Stegostoma tigrinum: one gene and its partners. The protein of the gene in region 3 purifies or fractionates together with the protein of the main gene of each other region. This does not show direct contact. Links are inferred from orthologs where the notes say so. Each region holds a gene or a part of one and is shown on either strand. Other genes may lie near its edges. The genes, in order: pdik1l, stk35 and CTD small phosphatase-like protein 2.

Evidence for each region.
Region 1: the proteins of CTD small phosphatase-like protein 2 (region 3) and pdik1l purify together in Homo sapiens (affinity purification with mass spectrometry; 4 studies listed by BioGRID and IntAct, counting the BioPlex papers as one, with this or other methods). This does not show direct contact. The link is inferred for Stegostoma tigrinum from reciprocal best matches to the Homo sapiens genes CTDSPL2 and PDIK1L.
Region 2: the proteins of CTD small phosphatase-like protein 2 (region 3) and stk35 purify together in Homo sapiens (affinity purification with mass spectrometry; 3 studies listed by BioGRID and IntAct, counting the BioPlex papers as one, with this or other methods). This does not show direct contact. The link is inferred for Stegostoma tigrinum from reciprocal best matches to the Homo sapiens genes CTDSPL2 and STK35.

Annotation. Positions count from the first base shown.
Region 1 is NC_081377.1:29,406,915-29,414,997, forward strand, and holds the start of pdik1l (serine/threonine-protein kinase pdik1l), read right to left. Parts: upstream 3,062-8,083; 5' UTR 2,955-3,061; exon of another isoform or gene 2,948-2,954; intron 2,926-2,947; exon of another isoform or gene 2,533-2,925; intron 1-2,532.
Region 2 is NC_081372.1:35,991,825-35,998,892, forward strand, and holds the start of stk35 (serine/threonine-protein kinase 35), read left to right. Parts: upstream 1-4,040; 5' UTR 4,041-4,500; coding exon 4,501-5,607; 3' UTR 5,608-5,641; intron 5,642-7,068.
Region 3 is NC_081386.1:33,606,661-33,614,187, forward strand, and holds the start of CTD small phosphatase-like protein 2, read right to left. Parts: upstream 3,073-7,527; 5' UTR 2,995-3,072; intron 1-2,994. UniProt on the Homo sapiens protein: Probable phosphatase.

The DNA of each region.
Region 1 (8,083 bases), on a different chromosome or scaffold from region 3:
TGAAGCAGGGGTAAGAAATCACTGAAGCCAACGAACATGTTCATTCTTAGTTCTAGCTTATTTGAGGTACCAAATTATTACCTCACCCTACTAAATTCAAATCTTTCAAAATAACTCAGTTTAAAATGATTACAAGAGTTGAAAAACATGTAAATAAAAGTGGTCAGTTAGCTCAATTGGTTGAACAGTTGTTTTGTGATGCAGAGGGAGGCCAACAGCATGATGTCAATTGCCACACCAGCTGAGGTTTGCCATGAAGGGCACAGCTTCTCAACCTCACGAGCATAGTGACCCTCCAGTTTAGTCATAGCTCTCTAGTGGGACAGCAGCCCTATGGCCTGGTAGGACTACAGCAACTTTACCATTAAAGGAATTGTGAAGATGTCTTCAGGTCTGCCAAGGTGTTCAATTAAAAAAAAAAGTTGACCTTGGAGGAAGTATCATGGAGCCATGTACAACCACAATCAGCGATTTCCACAAAGGAGTGAAACTTAATTTGAGCAAATATGGATCCAAGAGCCAATTCCCAAAGATTAAGTGAGACAACAGTAATTTCCTTCAGCATCAAGATGGCATTTGATGCTGAGTGACCAAATGGCATTAAGGAATCCTAGCAATATTGAATCGAAAGAAAGCTCTTCGCTGGCTGGAGTCATACCAAGTACAAAAGGCTATGCTTGTGGTTATTACAGCGCAAGCACCTCAGTTCCAACTCACAGCTATTTGAAGTTAGGACCGACAATCTTCAACTGCAACACTGCCTCCAGTAAAATTTCAGAAATGTAAAGGCTCACTGATTGAACAGAGATTAGGAATAAACCATTTGGTTCTTTAAGCTTACTCTGACATTCAATAAGGTCAGGGCTGATCTGCTGTTGTCTCAACAACTTCCTGTCTTTTCCCTGTTGACTGCATCGTCCATTGAAAACCTAATTTGACCAGGTAATTTCAAAAACGTTTGAGAACATTTGTTGCTTGGGTTGTGGAAGTAATTGCAGTCTTGCGTGCTGAGCTGGTGTGTCTGAATGCACACGTTTCATCACCCTGCTAGGTAGCATTCAGTGAACCTCTGGTGAAATGCTGGTGTTCTGCGCACTTGTTCTTTACGTACCTCGGTTTGCTGTGGTGGTTGGCACCACTGACGGTTCTGTTTTTCCCATGGTTTGTTTCTCAGGTCCAGTTCAACGTGTTTGTTGAGGGAGTTCTGGTTGGATTGCCAGGCCTCCAGCAATTCTCTGGCACGTCTGTTTGTCCTCTTGACAATCAACAGCATTCCCATCAGAATTCCCACTGCTTCTAGAGGGTTAGTAGTGATTGAAAGTTGAATTGGATCAGCCACGTAAATATTGTGGCTACAAGCAAGCTAAGCTGTGAGCTTGCAGAATTGCACACAATTGGCATGGCAATGTCATTCGCAGCACTGACTTCCAATTCTGAAGAAAAATGGTGGGAATGCTGGCTACAAGTGCAGCTCAGATGGGAATTCAGCAGTGAATGACTGACCTCCCAACTTCCCAAGGCTACCACAGCTTAAAAAGTCACAACATCAGTCGTGTAACAGAATGTCACGCTGCACTTATTTAAATGGCACTCATCCAAACAAGATGGGAGGTCAATCCAATATAGTAGATAGAGCAACCTCCTTACTCCCTCCTTTACCTGCAGATGGACCATCTACAAAAGTAGTTCAACTCACCCAAGCTCCTTCTTCAAAAGTAGCTTACAACCAAAGTTCCACACACAGAAAAAGGGTCAGACTATTGGAACATCACATCCTCAATTTATTTCCAAGTCACACAATCCCAATTTAGAACAATATTTCCTTTCCTTTCCTTTATTACCTCTCAATTAACAGCCTAGAACTCATTTGCTAAAAGCTCTATCAGTGTACCAAGACAATAAGATCTACAGCAACTTAACACCTTTTCACATGAGCAATATTGGTTATGTTAGTGACATGTCCATCAGTGAACAAATATTAAAAAACAGTAGAGACAACAATTAGTGGTTACAGTTGTTACATGGCAGCAAAAGCCCAGTTGACAACTGTAAAGGAGGGGTTCCTGCACTGCAACTGGTAGACCTCTCATCTCAACAGAAAAGTTCAGGATTCACAATACCACTCCAGATAGTGGAGCAAACAATCTAAGATGGCATCAACAGAGTGCAACACTGTCAGAAATGCCAATTCAAATTAACATAAACACAGCACATCCATCTGCTAGCGGACAATCCTCTAGTGCTAGCCAAAAGAGGAAAGTTGTCAAATGCAATGCCCCCCTCATCTCTCTATGGTCATTCATTTCACTGTAGTACACGGGACCTGGTTACCATGTTAGACAATTACTTAATTTCAGAAGTTCCTTATTCACGGTAAAGTCATTTGAGGCATCACGAGTTGGCACAAATTTAAGGTGTAACAGCACTTAGGAAATCTGCTTATTTCTAATCGCTCAAGAAAACTGCGGGAGGTGTGGTGGGGGTTCAATGGAGGATGAAGTGCAAGGTATTATGTAGGGAGCAATAACATACATGGAGAAAAGTATGGCCTGGCCTGGACCTCCTCCCCAGCCTGCTTTTCCTTCAATGGAGCCGTTCCTGTAATGCGCCTGCGGATAGAAATGCAGGCAGAGGCTCACCAACTACCTCGAATCCACTTGGGCCTTAATCAGGGATTGCAGTTTTGAGTAACTGTGCATCAGTAACAGAGGAAGAGCGCTTGCAAGCCGCACCGAGAGTTCAATACCTCCTCCCCCACCGCCAGGGATTCACATCAGGGAACGAGCGGCCTGTGAAAGGAGGGAGATTGCGGAGCAGCAGGCAGCTCATGCTGTCTGTCTGCCGTTACAACGCTCGCCGGTTATTAATATTCATTCGTTCATTCATTCATTCATTCATTCGTGGGTGTCACAGCTCGGTAAATGGACACGTGTGTCTTTTATTTTACTTTCTACCTCAGTCGGTTGGTGCTCGCTGCTCTCCCGCTCTGCTCTCGGCCATTGCTTCTGTGGTCTCACTCCCGCGTTCCCGCTCGCTCACGCCAGCCGCCAATGCGCGAGCTCCGGCTTCAAATAACTGCCACTCACGCACGTGCTCCCGCCCCATGCCGCGCCCCGCCCCCTCCAACCTTTGATCCAATCGGAAGCCTCATCATCCACCCTCTTGTCAGTCACACTGCCGCCAGGCGCCCCTCCGGAACGTCCCTGCCCACATGGCCAGGGCACCTTCGCCTGATTCGACCCTCGTGTCCTAGGCTCCGCCCACCCGCTTTTACTGTTATTAGGCAGGTTCAGTCACTCATTGCATTCCCCGCAGATGTGATTTGTGACTCTGGTAGGGGGTGGTGAGCTGTACAAGCTCCGCACTGCACCGACCCTGTGATTGACGTTCCCGCCTCCCCAAGAAGCCCCGCCCCTCCTCTCCCGCATTTGCGCGAAGACAAATTTTCAAATCTGGTGCAACTTGAGGATGCAGTGCGGATGACTTAGTTTCGTTATACAGTCATAGAGCACTACAGCATGATAACAGGGTCTTCGGCTGTACTTGGTCCATGCTGACCATAGTGCCTGTCCAGATAGTTCGAATTGCCCGCATTTGGTCCATATCCCTCTAAACCTTTCCCATCCATAAAACTGCACAGCATAGTACTGGCCCTTTGGCCCATGATGTTGTCCTGAACTACTACCCTAATCCTAAAAGGTCTATCTAACCTCTATCCCAACTTATGCTATCATCCACATGCCTATCTAATAGCCATTTAAATGCTCTTAACAAGGCCAACTCCATTACCCTCTCCAGCAATGCATTCCACACCCCGACTGCTCTGAATGAAGCGCCTACCTCTGGCGTCTCCCCAATATCTACCTCCACTCACATTAAAACTATGCCCCCTCATAACAGCTACCTCCACCCTAGGAAAAAGTCTCTGGCTGTCTATTTTATCTCTGATCATTTTGTACACTTCTATCAAGTCAAAATCCATGCACCTAGCCACATGTTTTGTAAATGTTCCTATTGTACCTGCCTCAACCATTCACTCTGTGAAGAAGTTTCCTCAGTTCCCACTGCGAAAGTAAGCTGTTTAACTTTTTAATGAAAAAAAACAAAGCAAATTTTAAAAAAATCCCAAGGTAAATTGAGGGGTTGCATCATTTCATTAATAGTAATAACAAGTATTGTTAAAACTAGAGTCAACAGAGAAATAGAGCTTTGACCAAAATAAACAAAGAACTGCGGATGCTGGAAATCATAAACAAACGAAGGTTTGGCAGCATCTATGAAACCAGAAATTAAAGTTAACATTTCAGGGCCAATGACCCTTCTTCACAATCAGTTCTGCTTTTATTTTATATCACTGAAAAATGCCCTTCAGCCCATTAAGAACATAGAACAGTACAGCACAGAACAGGCCCTTCAGCCCACGATGTTGTGCCGACCATTGTGTCTAAGCATCCATCTGTTCGAATTTCATTTTTCCAGCACTTCCACCATTGCCTTGTAGATCATGTTTCAAGTTTGCATCCAAATTCTACTTAAATGTCTTCATGGATCCTGCCTCCACCACTCTTTCAAGCAGTGAGATCTGAATACCCACCACCCCCGTTGAAGAATTGTTTCCTGAAATCCCATCTAAACCCCCTGGTCCTTACCATACCTGGTTACTGGCTTGTCTATTAAAGAAAAAGGTTTCTCCCTATCAATAACCCTCATAATTTTGAACACTTCCATCAGATCATCCCTCCGCCTTTTCTGCTCTAAGGAAAAGCAAACCTAGCTGAATAGCCTGCCTTCATTGATGAATTGTTACAACTCAAGCAACATCTTGGTGAATCTCTTCCAAACCAGCGTTCCCTCTAATATTTTTTCCTTGGAGGTCTGTGCACATGACAACTACCGCCAAAAGCACTGATTGCCATGTTTGGCAATTCGGAGTTGCCATGCATGTGCACGTGCATGCATGAGCAACATAACTTAGAGGGAACATTGCTCTGCACCATGTCAAGTGCAATCACATCCTTCTTATTCTGTGGCAACCATAACTGTGCACAGTACTCCAAGTATGGCCTTAACACTACATACAGCTCCATCATAACCTCCTAAGTCCTTGTATTCAATGCCTCAACTAATGAAAGCACATATTCCATATGCCTCTTGACCAACGTCCAGCTGCGTCCAAGGATCTATAGATATGCACACAAAGGCCCATCTGATCTTCTATATTTCCCAGTCACCTACCACTCATCATGTACTTGTCAGTTCTTCTAAATTGTGGCATCTCACTTTTCTGGATTACGTTCTTTTTGCCACTTAACCAGCTCATCTATATCATCCTGTAGTCTAAGACATTCCTCCTTGCTATTTACCATCTGAGTCTGAAATTGAAATCTGACATATAAATAGAATAGTGGAAAAGTTTTAAGGTAAGTGCAAGTGACTGAGTGATAGGAAACAAGGCAGTGGTGAATGGTTATTGTCAGGCTGGAGGATGGTAGAAACTAGAGACAAAGTTGGAGGTCCTTAGGGGTCAGTTCTGAAATTACTGTTTTTCTTACACATGATGACCAAGACTTTTTGCAAGAATGCATTTTTGAGATGTGTAGATGACACAATATTTGGAAAATTTGAGGATAGTAATAGATATCAAGAACACATTAGCTGAAGGAAGGGCCAAGCATGAAGCAGATAACATTTAATGCAGTGGAATGGAACATAATATATTTCAGTAAGAAGAAAGAGAAACGTCAACAGAAACTAACAGATATAATTTTAAGGGAAGCACAGGAACAGGAACACAGAAAATATTTTGAGAATTCTAGACAAAGTAGATATAGAAAAATTTCTCCCATTGCAATGGGGTTTGGGAGCATTTGGGGTGAAGGTTAGATTCATTCTTGTTTGAGATGGCACTTGTAAAGTGCGATTGTTACTTGCCAATGTAAGCCCAAATCTGGATATTATATTATCTTGCTGCTTGTTGACATGGGTATCATAATTCTTTGAGAAGTCACTAAAAGAGCTAAATATTGTGCAATCACCAGTGAACATCCCTGCTTCTGAACTTATGATAGAGGAAAGTGATTGATAAGGCAGCTAAAGATGGTTGGGCCTAGGACAATATCCTGAGGAATTTCTGCAGAGATATCCTGGAGTCAAATTAACTCACCTCCAACAACCAGTTGGGGCTGGAATGGATAAGTGGGAAAGAATTTGCAGACAATAGTAAGAAAGAGTGGTAGAGTGCCTTTAATGTAGCAAAATTCTCAGAAAATACATCACTCTGGTGATCACTTTCCAGACATATTTTATGTGGAAAATGCCATTCACGATTTTTTCATAAAATTTGGGCTGATGCTAGTATTATAAAACTTTGGTATATGTGTTATATACCAGTATTACGCTGAATTTTAAGAAGTCCCGAAGTATTTAACAAAAATAATAATAATTTGTCTGCAATGAAGTAATTTCAAATGTTCTAATGTGTTACTGTAAGGTAGAATAACCCAATTTAATGATTCATGTTGCACAGCATGTGTCAAAGTAACAAGTTCCATCAACAAATTTGCCTTATAAAATCCCAGAAAATATTTTAATATCTACAGAAAATATTTTAATATCTACACTTTTCATTTTTATTGTTGACAAGTCATCATAATCTAAAAGAAATGCCACATCCTGTAAAGTAACCTGATTCAAATCACATTTCTTTGATAAAACTGTTGTAACATTTCACATGCAAATCTTTAAGTCAGACTTAAAATTTATTTAAAGAGATCTTCACATCCATTTCTAAGTAACGTGAAGACATGCTTTTCTTGGGAAGGGAAAATACCTTATGCCTTTAAACAACGAGTTAAATACAGATGCAATTTAACAGACATTAAGCTACACATTAAGGACTAAATGCCTTGCATTTATATTTCACCTTTCATAAAGACTGTTCAAAGGTACTTTAAAGTTAATGAAATATTACTTGAATAGGAACTACAGAATCCATTTTGTGCGCAGCAAGATCCTATGAGAAATAATGTAATCATGACGGATAATCTCATTTATCAATATCTAAAAATCAGATCATTTGATCATCATTGTATTGATATTTGTAAGAGCTCATTGTACGCAGATTGACTGCTCTTTTTCCTACAATGCAGAATTGGCCTTTATAGAGATAAGACTTTAGGCTTTAAGATCTGGATGTTGTCTTAGCCTTTTTTTTATTTTATCTGTTTTGTTTTAATTTTGGTTTTGTAACCAAGTTAGCACCACTTTTGTACACTTTTTGCTGTTCTGTGTTCCTATACTTGAGTACGCATGACAAACCTATCTGATTGGCTGCGAAGAGTTTTGGGACATCCAATCCTGATGAAAGGTGCTTGGTAAATTCAGGACTTTTTTCTAATGTTGGCATGATGTTACTTGAGGAATTTAGAACAAGAAACTAACAACAATTGATCTCAAGTTTCAGAATAATGCATGAAATTGCTTCCCTCAACCTAAAGAGGCAAATGCACACCCTAGGTGTGTCATCTCATTTGAAAGGCAGTACTCTGAACAGTGCATCACACCCTCTACATGAATATCCTACTCACTGAGCAACATTACTTCATCTGATTCAGGTCATTAAAACAAACCCCTTGCTTCATCCATGTAGAGAATGTGAAGTATGTATTTTAGTAAGGCCATGGCATTTTATGAAACATAAATTTATATGTACAAACTAACAACACCACGTTGAGTCGACAATATCACTGCTATATCTACTCTTCCTGTTTCTTATCAATGCGTAATAACCTTAACTTTTCAGTTATTGCCTGTGTTTACTAGGAAGCTTGAGTAATTAACTTTCAGCGCAGTGAGAGATTCTCATTAATTAAAACAAAAACAGAAAATATGTTACACCCACCAAAAATGGTGTGAGAGAAAAACCTTACAGTTGTTGGAGGTACACTCACTTGTTTGGGGTTGCGTAAATGAACATTATAATTTTACAGTATCCTACAGAGAGTGTCATTACATTTTTCCCATTGGCAGCTTAGATCTTGACTCAAGATTCAGGCTTTGATTTTTCTAGAACCACATTGCTTCA
Region 2 (7,068 bases), on a different chromosome or scaffold from region 3:
AATTATCTACCTTTGAGGAATGTCAATAGAGTAAAAGTTACAACAGGTATTTTGGCAGAGGAAGAAGAACCTCCTTTAGGAAGTAACATCTGAAACATTAAAAACATTAAAAACCTGTAGTTTTGTAGGTGACTGCTACAAATGGAAACCTGTAAGATCAATAACCTGAATTCATTACAGCCTAAATTATTAGACAGACATCATAAACTGACTCTGAAAATCAATCCCAATTGTTTTTTTAAACTGCATTTATAATAGAATATTGAATTATATCCATCTCTTACATGAAATATATAACATTCCATATTGACTATTACAGATTAGATAATACTGATTTATGGATATTTAATCACTAAAATAGTTTTTCAACAATGTGACACTTCTAAATCAATACAGCACTCACGGCAGTTTTTTGTAAATAAAGCTCAAACTTGTTTATATCATTTTAATTTGGTTCTTTCAGATTATTTATCAGTCAATGAAAAGAAGATAATTACTTTGTTGAATGGGGTGAGCATCATCAAATTAATATGACCATCTAATTTTGATCTGAATTTCAAATGTCTGCTTTGAAACTTCAGAATATAAATTCTGCATTTTGATATCTTTTGATTACTGACATTTGTATTTGTAACATTGGAATGCCAGAGTACTCAATGACTGTACTTAAGTCCATGGTAAGATACAGCTGTATAGGAAGCAGAACAAAGGAAAAGTCTTTAGCTACATTTGTATCGCCAATTTGTATGGATGTAGGATGGCTTCAGTTATGCCTTGATGCAACAGTGGTGGTTTAACTCTGCAATGATCAATCAGTGTCCATCTAGAAAATGTTTAAAATAAATGGTGTGAAACGCTACCCCGGAGGCAGAATGTGGGCTGTAATTCCAGTGCTGCATAAAGCTAGTGTTTAAAATGCCCAAGCAATCTATTTTATTTCTAGGGCAGTTTATCAGTTGACAGTTTTCCCATTTAATATTCTGATATAATAAATATTCTGAAAGTCTACATTTGACCCTTTTTGAGAAATTAGATTCTGGGGAGCAAGTAAGTACAAGATATGGCCTAAGAGCTATTATAGCCATTTGATTCAGAAAGCAAGTGAGGGATTTTTGAAATATTTTCTGTACCATTTTTTTTGAAAAAGATGTTGAATTGAACTTGACGCCAATACCAAAAAAAATTAAATACAGCAATACTAGTACTATACATCTAACTATCCATTCAATGCTTGTTTTAGAAAACTGTGATTAGATGGCATTTATCACTGCTCTTACCCTTTACTTATAAGAGGGCTCACTGCTCTTATTAACATAATTTCTTACAGTATGAACTGGAATCCAGCTAGGTATAGTTGTTACAAAGGATCTGCAAGCAAATGGCTGATTGAAAATTCTTTCAATGGCCATACTTAAATAATCTTAAATTGCAACTATATTATTTGAGACAGATCATGTTTTTACACTTACTCCTCCATGTGATATTTTCATCAGCGTATTTGTATTCTATCATGCAATATTTAAAATCCTGGCATTGTAATAATATCCTCTCCATCACCAAGACTACTGCATCCAACATATTGCCAATCTCCACCACTGCCTCAGCTTGGCTGCTGCTGAAATCCTCATCCATTCCATTGATATCTCTAGACTAATCTTTTCCAATGCTCTCCTAGCCAGCTTCTAACCTTGCACACTTTGTTAACTGGAGCCCATCTACAGCTCTGCTGCCATTATGCATCTGGTTGCTGATCTAAACTAGTGTCTGGTCCAGAAATGTCTTGATTTTAACATTTTCATCCTTGTTCTCAAATATCCTTTGTTGACTGTCTTCTCCCCTCCTTATCTATATTATGCCATCCAGTTAGAAAATCCTGCAGATGTTCCCCTGACTTTGTCAAATTCTTTTCAAAGCATGTCTAAGGGTCTTGGGCCATTTCAGGCACATTAAAAGTGTTAGATAAATTCACATTACCAATACATTTATGAATTTTAAGTACAATATTATTGATGAACAGCAATAACTTTTCAAAATTACTTTCACAAAAATAAATGCAGAGTTCAGTTCCTGCTACTCTATCAGTTCTTGACTGTGACAATGTCCCTTCCTTAGATTGATATTGCACCAGTGGGCATGCAGTATGTTCTGTAAATTCCATCTGTTACTCATTGCAGTTATGTTTTTCAGTGATCTTTCCAATAACCTTTTTCCTCTGTAATGTTGGATATGCTTTAAAGTTCCAAAGGAGATGAAGGAGGAAATTTGTGAGGCTATGCCTAGAGTTATGAATGTGTCATTAAAAAAAACTGGTAACTGGAACGGTTCCTAAACATTAGAAAAATTGTAACACGCAATAATAGGACCGGTATTTAAGAAAAGCCTTTTGACTCTTTAAACCACTTCCTGTTCTTGAATTCTCTTCCTTGCATCTCATTAGATCTTAGATAACATCCTTTTGCTGCAGTATAACCAGTTTACTGTATGGTGTAACTTGATATTCTTGGATTTCCTCCTCTGGACATATCTGCAGTAGAGTAAGATGTTCACTCAATCTCATTGTAACTTTGACATATTTTTCAGGATAAATGTTGCTTTTGTCATGCAGTGCATGCTTGTGGTGAGATTCCCAAAGGATGGGATGACAACAGATATTCCAACACTACAACAAAGATAAATTAAGTGATAACTACGGCAAAACTGTGAATGCTGCTAGCTCCTGAAGATATCTGTCACTTACTTGGAAGAGACAAAGAGGAATGGACATAGTCTCTGCTGTGACATACATAAGTTAAAGTAGCAAACATGGCTGCTTAGCTCTCTAGGCTGGGACGGAAGCATCTACTATGCCCACTCCCATGATGCGAGGCTAGCACCATCAACACCCTGGGACATCCACCAGATAGTTCAAAGATGGTTGGGTAAAGGTAAAATGGGTCAGTTTCCACAATATGCAACAACTCAGAGATACTCATGGACCTCTGGAATCTTCCTCCCATCCCCTTCCTTATGACTCCACCCCCAACAGTCCCCATTAACAACTATCCACCCTCCTAGCCAGATTGTTATTAACTCCTTTGTCTATCCAACTGCTCTTTGCTCTCTTTGGGTTCTATCCCCACCTATCGTCTACTCCTTACCCCTTGCTCCTCTCTGTCTTCTGCAAATGAACTGACATTTTCTTAGCTACGATCAGTTCTGAAAAAGGGTAACCGGACCTGAAATGTTAACCTTGATTTTTCTTCATAGATGTGGCCAGACCTGCTGGCCACAAACAGCGACCTCTGTTTCTGTTCCAGTTTCCAGGCTGCGTCTCAGTGTTTTGCATCTGCATGTCACAAGCAGGGAAGGATGTCTGGGGATGATCTGAACAGGATGGGAGGGAGGAAAAATCGAGACCAAAACTAGTCTGTACCCTTTCTATGACTACCAGTCATTAATTGGGTCAAAACAGTGGGGTAAATGATGCGTCTATGGTATTATTCATAGTAATACCGCAGACACATCATTTACCCCACTGTTTTGATCCAATTAATGAATATATGGTCAATTTACTAGCTTTCAAACGACATTCAGCAGAAACTGGAAATATTGAGGACAAAATCTATAACATCCCTTCAATTTCATCTGTAACAAATTGCATTACTTGGTATACAGTTTCTTGAGACTGCACTAAGGTGAATAGCCCGTATAAGACTTCGTATGACAGAGCAGCCTGGACACACTGCAGCCTGCAGAGACTGCATTACACGGTACGTTGTCTGCACGAACTGCTGTACATTAATTAAGCGCACCGCCTGCACAGATTGCGTAATACATAACAGAGGCCTGAGCAGACTGCGATGCATAATGAAAAGTACAGCCTGCACAGGCATTGCATGGCATGACAGGGCTGCCTGTACAGACTGAGGTACATTGCAAAGACCGCGCAGACACTGCATGGCAATGACAAGCCAACTCCGTGAACCACAGTGCGGTAGATCGAGTAGACACGCAACTACGCGACAGGAAAGAGGCATGAAGGCAGCTCGGGACGTGCGCATGCGCTCGGCAAGGGCACGTGAGCACGGGGCCGGCCGTGGACTGGCCGAAAGGAAGCGTTGGGGGGAGAAGGCCCCAAACTCCCAGCAATGAATGAGTGCGCGAGCCGGCGGAGGCCCGCTACAACCAGGCGGCTCAGTTTGTCCGGCTCGGTGAGCGGCTGTGTGCTCTGATCCCGAGGAGGGCGGAAGGCTGGATGTTACCCTGGTGGAGGAGGAGAGGCCGGCAGTGAGTGAGTGCCGGGTCCTGTTCCTCTTCCCTTCTCTTTACCCCCAACCCCCCCCCTCTCCCGGGAGTGGGGCCGGGAGCTGCGGCTGCGCTGGAGCTGGAGCTCGAGCCGAGTGAAGCGGGGGCCCCGAGGCCGAGGCGGAGGCCCTGGGGGCAGAGACAGAGAGCCAGGCCCCGGCCTCTGTCGCTCAGTGATGTGGAGTGCGAGAGCCTCCCCTCAGCCAGCTGCCCACCATGGAAACTCACGACCTGCCGAGAGAAGGCACCGACTGTGAGGAGCGCCCGGCGCTGAGCGGCGGCACCACCACCACCAGTACGAACAGCCCGAGGCTCCCGGGCCTGCTGTGGGAGCCCAAGTACAGCCTGGTGCAGGAGGTGGGCCGCGGCAGTTACGGCGTGGTGTACGAGGCGGTGGTGAGGAAGAGCGGCGCCCGGGTGGCCATCAAGAAGATCCGCTGCGACGCCCCGGAGAACGTGGAGCTGGCCCTGTCCGAGTTCTGGGCTCTGACCAGCCTCAAACGGCAGCATGAGAATGTGATCCAGTTCGAGGAGTGTGTGCTGCAACGGAATGGCATGGCCCAGAAGATGAGCCACGGCAACAAGCGCTCCGAGTTCTACCTGCGCCTGGTCGAGACCTCGCTGAAGGGTGAGCGGATCCTGGGCGCCGGCGAGCCCTGCTACCTCTGGTTCGTCATGGAGTTCTGCAACGGCGGTGACCTGAACCAGTACGTGCTGTCCCGGAGGCCCGACTCGGCCGTCAACACCAGCTTCATGCTGCAGCTGACCAGCGCCATCGCCTTCCTGCATAAGAACCACATCGTCCACCGCGACCTGAAACCCGACAACATCCTCATCTCCGAGAAGTCGGGAGTCCCCATTCTCAAAGTGGCCGATTTCGGCCTCAGCAAAGTTTGTGTGGTGGGCGGAGGAGCAGCCACTAACAAAAACGTGAATGTGAACAAGTGCTGGTTGTCCTCCGCCTGTGGCTCTGACTTTTACATGGCTCCAGAGGTCTGGGAAGGACACTATACGGCCAAGGCTGACATTTTCGCTCTGGGGATCATCATATGGGCCATGATTGAACGAATAACATTTATTGATGCTGAGACTAAGAAAGAACTGCTTGGGACCTATGTTAGACAGGGCAGTGAGATTGTACCTGTAGGGGAGGCATTGCTAGAAAACCCAAAGATGGAACTACATATCCCGCAGAAAAGGAGGACTTTTATGTCTGAAGGGATCAAACAGCTTATTAAAGACATGTTGGCTGCTAATCCACAGGATCGTCCCGACGCATTTGAGTTAGAAACTAGGATGGACCAGGTCACTTGTGCTGCATAAATTATCTATTATAAAGGGGATACTCTTGTAAAAGGTATACAGACAGTAAGCAAAATATTGATATTGTGGATTCTTGGTCATATGTAATTCTATATACCACACTTGCCTTATTTAGTGTATATAGCTTCTCCTTGATTGTAAAGCATACAGTGTCAGAACGTACATGTTTTGAAAGTGTGGTCTTTTTCAAACGCTTTAACTCTGGCCCCATTTTGATTTTAATTTGCCCAATTTAAGGACATTTTTTAATTATCAAGAAAACAACCTAACATTTGCTTTGTTCGTCGGAAGAGGAAGGTGGGCATTTTTCTTAGAAAGCAACCAAACTCTGGGATGATTCTCTTGCAGCACAAACAATAGTTGATGTGTAGAAGAACCCAAAAAAGCCAGTGTACCCATTAAGTGTACTGTGTTCTTTATGTCTGGTTGGGTACTGAGAAATAATGCTAGAAAATCAAGAAGTCAAGGCAGGAGCAAATCAAATTGGTGTTAGAAATATGCTGCAATTCTCTTGGCAGTGACTCACTCAAGCCGTTCCCCACTTGCACTTCAATTAGGTCCTAGTCTTTCTCAAATACCCTAGGGTTTGGAATGTGCTAAACTATTACTTCCAATCACATTATTTGCAAATAGATGCCAGACTAGTAATGTCACTTAGACCATAATGAACATTTTACCAGCAAACAATTAAAGTTTATACATGTTATTCTGAGATTGGTGCATTGTGAATCAAATGTTCAATTAAGAGTAGAATTGAAAATATTGGATATCACTTGGCTGGTCAGGTAGTGACTGGGGAAAAGGTGACTTTTAATATTGACACAGTTCCTCAGTTGTTATGGATGATTGTTTTGCATGTAACTACTGGTCTGTAAGCTAATATAGGACGTAGTGGTTTTGATTCCTTTTGTTTTCAAACATAATGCTAATAGACGTCTTGAGAAGTTTGTGCATTGCTTTCTCACTTGGTATCAAGAAAAGCTGCTTAAATCCCCGCCACTGATGCAGTGTTCCATATTATTATCAATAAATAACAACGTATTTTAGAACTCCCTGCTCTAATTAGATACTGTCAAATTGATAACTATGCAACCTTTCTTCTGCATTTAAATTATTCTCATAATTTGGAATAGCAAATAGTTTTTCCCTGTCCTGGCTAAATGTCTTAATATTTGTGTTCTGTTGTGTTTCTGTTGCTGTTCTTAACTACTTCAGACCCACGAACTTTCCGACAAAGTAGACACAGCATTTTAATTGTTTTACGAAGATGTTTTAAGAATGTGACCCACAGTTGAAATGGAGGATTTTTTCAGGGGCATTGTGCTAAATGATAGCTTCATGCATTAGAACAATAAGCTCAGTTTTCCTCAGAACTTTGGAGTATTGTTTAGCCTGTTTCTGTTTTGGTGTATTTGAGAACTTGTGTACATTCTCTATTTAACTCAATTTTAATTTGAGGGT
Region 3 (7,527 bases):
CTGCTATATCTGGCTGCCTCTTGAATACATTCAACTACTTCCTGTGGTAATGAATTCTACAGGCTCATCACTCTTTTGGGTGAACAAGTATCTCCTCATCTCCATTCTCTGTCCATCCCAAATCCTCAGACTGTGACCCTTGTGCTGGACACGTCCATCAGGAACAGGCTCCCTGCATCTACCCTGTCCAGTCCCATTAAGATTTTAAAAGTGTCTATGACATCTCTTCTCCCACACCACCCCCCCAAACTCGCTCATCTGAATTCCAGCGAAAATAATCCTAATCTAGTCAATCTCCCCTCTTGTCAGTCCCACCATCCCCGGAATCAGCCTGGTAACCTTCACTGTAGTCCCTTGAGAGCAAGAGTGACTTCCTCAGAAAAGGAGACCAAAACTGCACACAACATTCTAAGTGTGGTCTTGCCAAGGCCCTGTATAACTGCAACAACACTTCCCTGCTCCTACACTCAACCTCTCGCTATGAAGGCAAACATACCATTTGCCTGCTTTACTGCCTGTTGCACCTGCATGCTTACCTGACTGGTGCACAAGAACATTCAGGTCCTATTGCACACTCTCCTCTCCCAATTTACAGCCATTCTGTAGATCTAAACAGAAGTAATAAATTATTCATGTGCTGTTTTCACTCAAGTTGTAAATCTGGGACATTCTCATTTCCCAACTTTGATCAATTCATTGACAAAGACAATTATATTTAAATAATTACAAGTCGTTATTCTCAAAATTGGCAGTCTACAAACCAGAATTGTCCAGAAACTGGGTATTTTTGAACGTGCATGGCATTTTTTTTTTGTTACTCAGTTGAAATTGACTTATCTGGATGATGCATAAATGTATTCGTTAGTTTGCTTGCTCACTAGTTTATTATGTTCCAAGTGACCCAATCTGAATTGGCCTGAACATCCACTGTCCAAAGCAGCAGAAATCCAAATCCAAGATCCAGTACAACCTCAAGGAAGTGTACTCTTGAAGGATCCAATAGATGCTTATTTCAACTGGTTTCATGTATAATTATTGAATCACAAACACGTAAGAGTTACAGATAAGTGTTACACTAACGTTATAGCTGAGCATCATACTTCTAGTAGCAATTCATACTTCAAGTGATCCACTTAAGGTGGAGTATGCAGTGTTTATACAATTAGATCATATTCTATGATACAGTGATGATATCACAAGCTCATCTTTAAAAAGTATACTGATGTACTGTGTCTCAAAATATACTCTGATTTTTCAGACTGAGAATAAGTAAGGAAATTATTGATTTCAGCAAGGCGTTCGATAAGGTTCCCCACAATAGGCTATTATACAAAATGCGGAGGAATGGGATTGTGGAAGATATAGCAGTTTGGATCGGAAATTGGCTTGCTGAAAGAAGACAGAGGGTGGTAGTTGATGGGAAATGTTCATCCTGGAGACAGTTACTAGTGGTGTACCGCAAGGGTCGGTGTTGGGTCCACTGTTGTTTGTCATTTTTATAAATGACCTGGATGAGGGCGTAGAAGGATGGGTTAGTAAATTTGCAGACGACACTAAGGTCGGTGGAGTTGTGGATAGTGACGGAGGATGCTGTCGGTTGCAGAGAGACATAGATAAGCTGCAGAGCTGGGCTGAGAGGTGGCAAATGGAGTTTAATGCAGACAAGTGTGAGGTGATGCACTTTGGTAGGAGTAACCGGAATGCAAAGTACAGGGCTAGTGGTAAGATTCTTAGTAGTGTAGATGAGCAGAGAGATCTCGGTGTCTTTGTACATAGATCCTTGAAAGTTGCCACCCAGTTGACAGGGCTGTTAAGAAGGCATACAGTGTTTTAGCTTTTATTAATAGAGGGATTGAGTTCCGGAACCAAGAGGTTATGGTGACGCTGTACAAAACTCTGGTGCGGCCGCACTTGGAGTATTGTGTACAATTCTGGTCACCGCATTATAAGGAGGACGTGGAAGCTTTGGAAAGGGTGCAGAGGTGATTTACTAGGATGTTGCCTGGTATGGAGGGAAGGTCTTACAAGGAAAGGCTGAGGGACTTGAGGCTGTTTTCATTAGAGAGGAGGAGATTGAGAGGTGACTTAATTGAAGCATATAAAATAATCAGAGGGTTAGATAGGGCGGATAGGGAGAGCCTTTTTCCTAGGATGGTGACGGGGAGCACGAGGGGGCATAGCTTTAAATTGAGGGGTAAAAGATATAGGACTGATGTCAGAGGTAGTTTCTTTACTCAGAGTAGTAAGGGAATGGAACGCTTTGCCTGCAACAGTAGTAGATTCGCTAACTTTAGGTACATTTAAGTCGTCATTGGATAAGCATATGGACGTACGTGGAATAGTGTAGGTTAGATGGGCTTGAGATCGGTATGACAGGTCGGCACAACATCGAGGGCCGAAGGGCCTGTACTGTGCTGTAATGTTCTATGTTCTATAAAAATTAAAAATAAAAATGCCTCGTAGAGTTTAACTGATACAGAAATATTCTGAACAACTAGCCACCAAGATAACTGTTGGGATTTAAATGAAGTACCAGGTTATATATTTGCATAAAGACAAAAAACAAATGGAATGATCAAAATAGTAATTAAAAATACAAACAGCTGGAAACATGCAAGCCCATCAGCAATTGGAAATAGACAGGTTAATGCTTCTTGTAAAGGTCCTTTCATTAGATATGACAAAAAAGCTCTGCTCAAACTTGCCTTGTTTTTGAATGTATTTTGTGTATTATTCTTATGAATAAGTGGAGTTCTACAGTAGTCACTGTGGTTGGGAAATATCTCAGACAGGTATGTTATGATTTCATATCATAAAATAGGTTATTTTTTTTAAAAACCTGATCATCATAGAGTTTGGCAATTACAGGACACATTTGTCAAATTCATTTTCTGTTGCTTCTTGGGTTATAATTAAAAATGACAATAACCTCAACAGTTCCATTTTACAGAAAAATATATCAAAGCTGATTGTTACACAATGCTCATGGCTCACCATATAGACTTGGGACTATAATCGCGATTCCTTCACCGTCGCTGGGTCAGAATCGTTGAACATCTGCCCTAATGCCATTGAGCGTCTACCTATACTCCAAATGGACTGCAGCAGTTCAAGAAGGCAGCTCATCGACAGTTTCTCAAGAGCAACTAGGGATGGGCAACAAGTGCTGGCCCAGCTCCTGTGAAAGCAGTTAAAAAAAGAACTGGATCTCAGAGGACAACAAGATCAATTATGGCTGTGATTACACACACTATCAAAAAAGGTATTATTCATTGCCTACATAAATGGAATAATCAACAATTAAGTCAGTTCCTTCAAGATATGAGAAGAATGGATAGAAAATCTTAAGAGAAGAACGATGGTTTGCACAGATTTTTAAAATGTATATTCACAGGCAACTTGTGAACATTTGCATACGTGCTAGAGTATAAAACTAATTGCAATTCTTCCAATATATATTCCCTCGACTACTGGTACACCATGGCAGCACGTGTAATCTACCTCTGAAAATCACAATCTCTACCACCTACAAGGACAAAAGATACAGGTGCACAGAAACAGCATCACACCCAAATCACCTTCCTAGCCACAATGCATCCTGATTTTCCCTTATTATCACTAAATCTTGGATCTGAGGTCCAGCCATGGCTTTACATAATTGTAAAGGAATTTCCACCACTTTTTATTAGAGCCTCTTTGAGATAAAAGCCAATATTAGACCTTTAAAAAATTGGTTTTGTACCTGTCCATCAGCCTTCAGTTTGTACACAAGCAAACAGTGAAATATTAAAAAGGGAAAACTTTTGGCAGAGTCCCACTAATACTGAATATTTAAATATTATAAAGTGGTTTGATTGAAACATCTTCAGGCAATATTGCTTAAGTGACAGCTGAAGGCCATATAAATATTAAATTTGCAGTTTATACTTTTGCAGTGCACACGGCTTAAATAAAATTTGTTCAAAACGTTACAATGCGCTTTAGAAACTGCAGTTTTTCTACTGGATTGATGCCAATGTTATATTAAAATATAATATTAAAAATCAGTACTCTCATCTCAGTTTGGTTAGAATAAAGATTTACTTCCATGCCATAACTCGCAAGATTTTAAAACAGATTCCAATAATTCCTCCAACGCTTCTTCACTTTTCAGTTCCATCACAATATAAACATTTCGGTAATAAGAAGTGCAGACAGACACACCAGAAATGGAAGGTTACAATTCCAGGGATGAACGTAAAAAAAGAGAGTAGAGAGTAGTATCTTTAAAAGTCAGGCACAAGTCACCAGTTCTTCAAAGATTTTCTCAAATCCAAAGTAGCTTAAAGTAACCTTAAAGCAAATTAACTGCCATCCAGCAGGAAAGAGCACTTTGCAGAAATTTGTACTTTAATGGCCTCAGTAGCTTTTCTGACAGTGTTTCACAACCTGAAGGCATGTGAATACACAACAAAAACAAGATCACAACATGCACCTAACACTCTAACAATGACAAATAATCTACGCGCTTTATAGGTAAATCTTATTCTTTTATAAACATCCTTGTTTTAAAACTGCTTTGTAACTGCATTATCAACATGAATATATCACAGTATTTGCACCTGATGTCATCAGTAAAACATACACCTGCCATTTCTTCCAGATTCAATATAGGTTGGTTGATGAATGGCCACCACTTAAGTAAATCTTTGGAACAATTTTATCTAGTCAGACTGCCCCATTAGTCAGCAAGTAAGTAGTGCTCTGACTGATACAATGATCTAGATTCTATTCAGACACTGTATACAGTTAGGTTATTCCAGCAGTAACAGTCAAAGCATCCAAGCTTAACAGGCAAGGCTAAAAGGGTGAAAATTCAGTCCAATCCAGTTACTATGCATCAATATTTAGTTGGTGTGCCATTAGCTGGTTTCAATTTAAGATTTACTGTCTTGTCTACTCAAGTATAGGGATACAAAAGGAGTGAAAAATGTACAATGCCGCCACACACGGCATCAACTTAGGTACAAAGGTACCTAGCTACAAGTAGTAACATTGAAAGACAAAGTTAAAAGTAAAGCCTTATCATTAGTCTTAGTATAAGCAGAAAAATAAAGAAATAAAGTTAACATTACAGTCCGTCCTAGTATTAAGTGGAAAAATAAAGTATTAAAGGTAAGCAGCACGTGAAGATTACCCACTGAGTGAGCTATCAGAGGGTGGCACTATAATGGCATCATGTCAAACAACCTCTTCAGGAGTACAATAAAATCATCACATCTACTTGTTAAATTTGTTTTTAGAATGTTGAGTACCACTGGAAAGACCAGCAATTATTACCCATCCAAACTGCCTCGAGAAAGTGGTAGTGAACTACATTCTTGACTTATTAAGTTCCTAAGATTCAGGTGCACTCTCAGTTCTGTTGGAAAGGAAGCTCCATGATTTTGACCCACTGACAGTGAAGGACTATTGATACAGCTGCAAGATAGGATAATGGTTAGACTGGAGGGCTACATGTGTTCTCATGCTTTTGTTCTCCTTGTTCTTCTGGGCGGTAAAGCAACACAGGTTTGGAAGATGCTGTCGGGGAAGATTAATAAGTTGCTACAGCACATATATGGTACACACTGCTACACACGTCCTTATTCCTCAAGTTTCAAAAGCTGCCCAATTGACAGCACACTCCTAAAATAGGAAGTTATGGGTTCAAGCCCCACTCCATTGTCTTAGCACAGAGCCTTAGGCTGATACTTCTGTGTTTTGAAGGAGGCTGCACTGCTGAAGGTGCTATTTTTTTGAATGAGATGTTTAAAGTAAGGTCGTCTGTCCTCTCAGGTGGATATAAAGATTTTGATTATACTATTCTGCAGAATAGCAAGGGAATTATTCTGAACATCTTGGCAATTATTTATCCCTCAAATCAGCAATACAGTGCTGCAATGGGAGTTTGCTGCCTATAAAAGGGCAGCCAGTGGCTACACTTAATAAGTAAAATGTTTGGGCACTTTGAGGTTATGAAGGACACTACTGAAATGAAAGACTTTCCTCCCTTTTACTTCTGCCTTTCCTCTCACACTATTGCCCTGATTTTGCTCTTGGTTAAAACCAGGAACAAAACAAAGATGCTGGAAAAGCTCTCAGCAGGTCTGGCAGCATCTGTGAAGGAAAAAACAGAGTTAATGCTTTGGGTCTGGCGACCTTTCCGCAGAACTGATGGTGGCTGGGAAAACATCAGTTTATGTGCAGAAAACAGGGAAGTGGGTCAGGTAGGGAGTAAATGATAGGTTTTCCCAGCCACCATTAGTTCTGAGTAAGGGTCACTGGACCCGAAATGCTTTTTTCCTTCACAGATGCTGCCAGACCTGCTGAGCTTTTTCAGCAACTTTGTTTTTATTCTTGATTTACAGCATCCACAGTTCGTTTGGTTTTTATCTTGGTCAAAACCAGTTGTAGCTATAAAGGTTTCCAGTTCCAATGGGAGGTCACTGGTCAGTCATAAAGTCATACAACATGGAAACAGATCCTTTGGTCCAACTCCTCTGTGCCAAACACACATCCCAATCTGACCGAATCCTATTTGCCAGCATTTAGCCCATTTCCCCCTAAATCCTTCCTATTCATATTCTCATCCAGATGCCTTTTAAACATTGTAATTGTTCCCACCTCGGCCACTTCTTCTGGCAGCTTATTATGTACACTCACCACCCACTGCATGAAAATCATGGCCCCTCAGGTCCTTTTAAATCTTTCCCCTCTCACCTTAAACCTATGATCTCTAGTTTTCGACTCCCCCACTCGAGGAAAAAGACTTCAGCTATTCACCCTATCCATGCCCCTCATGATTTTATAAATCTCCATAAGGTCACCCCTCAGCCTCTGACACTCCAGGGGAAAAAAACCTCAACCTATTCAGCCTCTCCAGCGTGTCTCTATAACTCAAAACCCCCAGTCCTGGCGACATCCTTGTAAATTTTTTCCACACACTCTCAAGTTAAACAACTTCATTCCTATAAAAGGGCAGCTGTACATAGTATTCAAAAAGTGACCTCACCAATGTCCTATACAGCCACAACTCTTACACTCAATATTCTGACCAATGAAGGCAAGTATGCCAAACACCTCCTTCAGCACCCTGTTTACCTGCAACTCCACTTTCAAGGAACTATGTACCTGTACTCCTAGGTCTTTTTGTTCAGCAACACTGACCAGGGCCCTACTATTAACTACCATTAAGTCCTCCCCTGGGATTGCCTAACCTAAATGCAAAGTTCACATTTATCTAAATTAAACTACATTGCCACTCCTCAGCCCATTTTCCCATCTGATCAAGGTCCTGTTGTATTCTGAGATAATCATCTTCACTGTCCTGTATATCACAAATCTTTGTGTCATCTGCAAACTCACTAACCATACCTTCCATACTCACATCCAAATTTATCATATAAATTACAAAAAGCAATAGATCCAGCACTGTGCCTTGTGGCACACTGCTGGTCACAGGCCTCTAATCTGAAAAATCAACCCTCGACCACCACCCTCTGCACC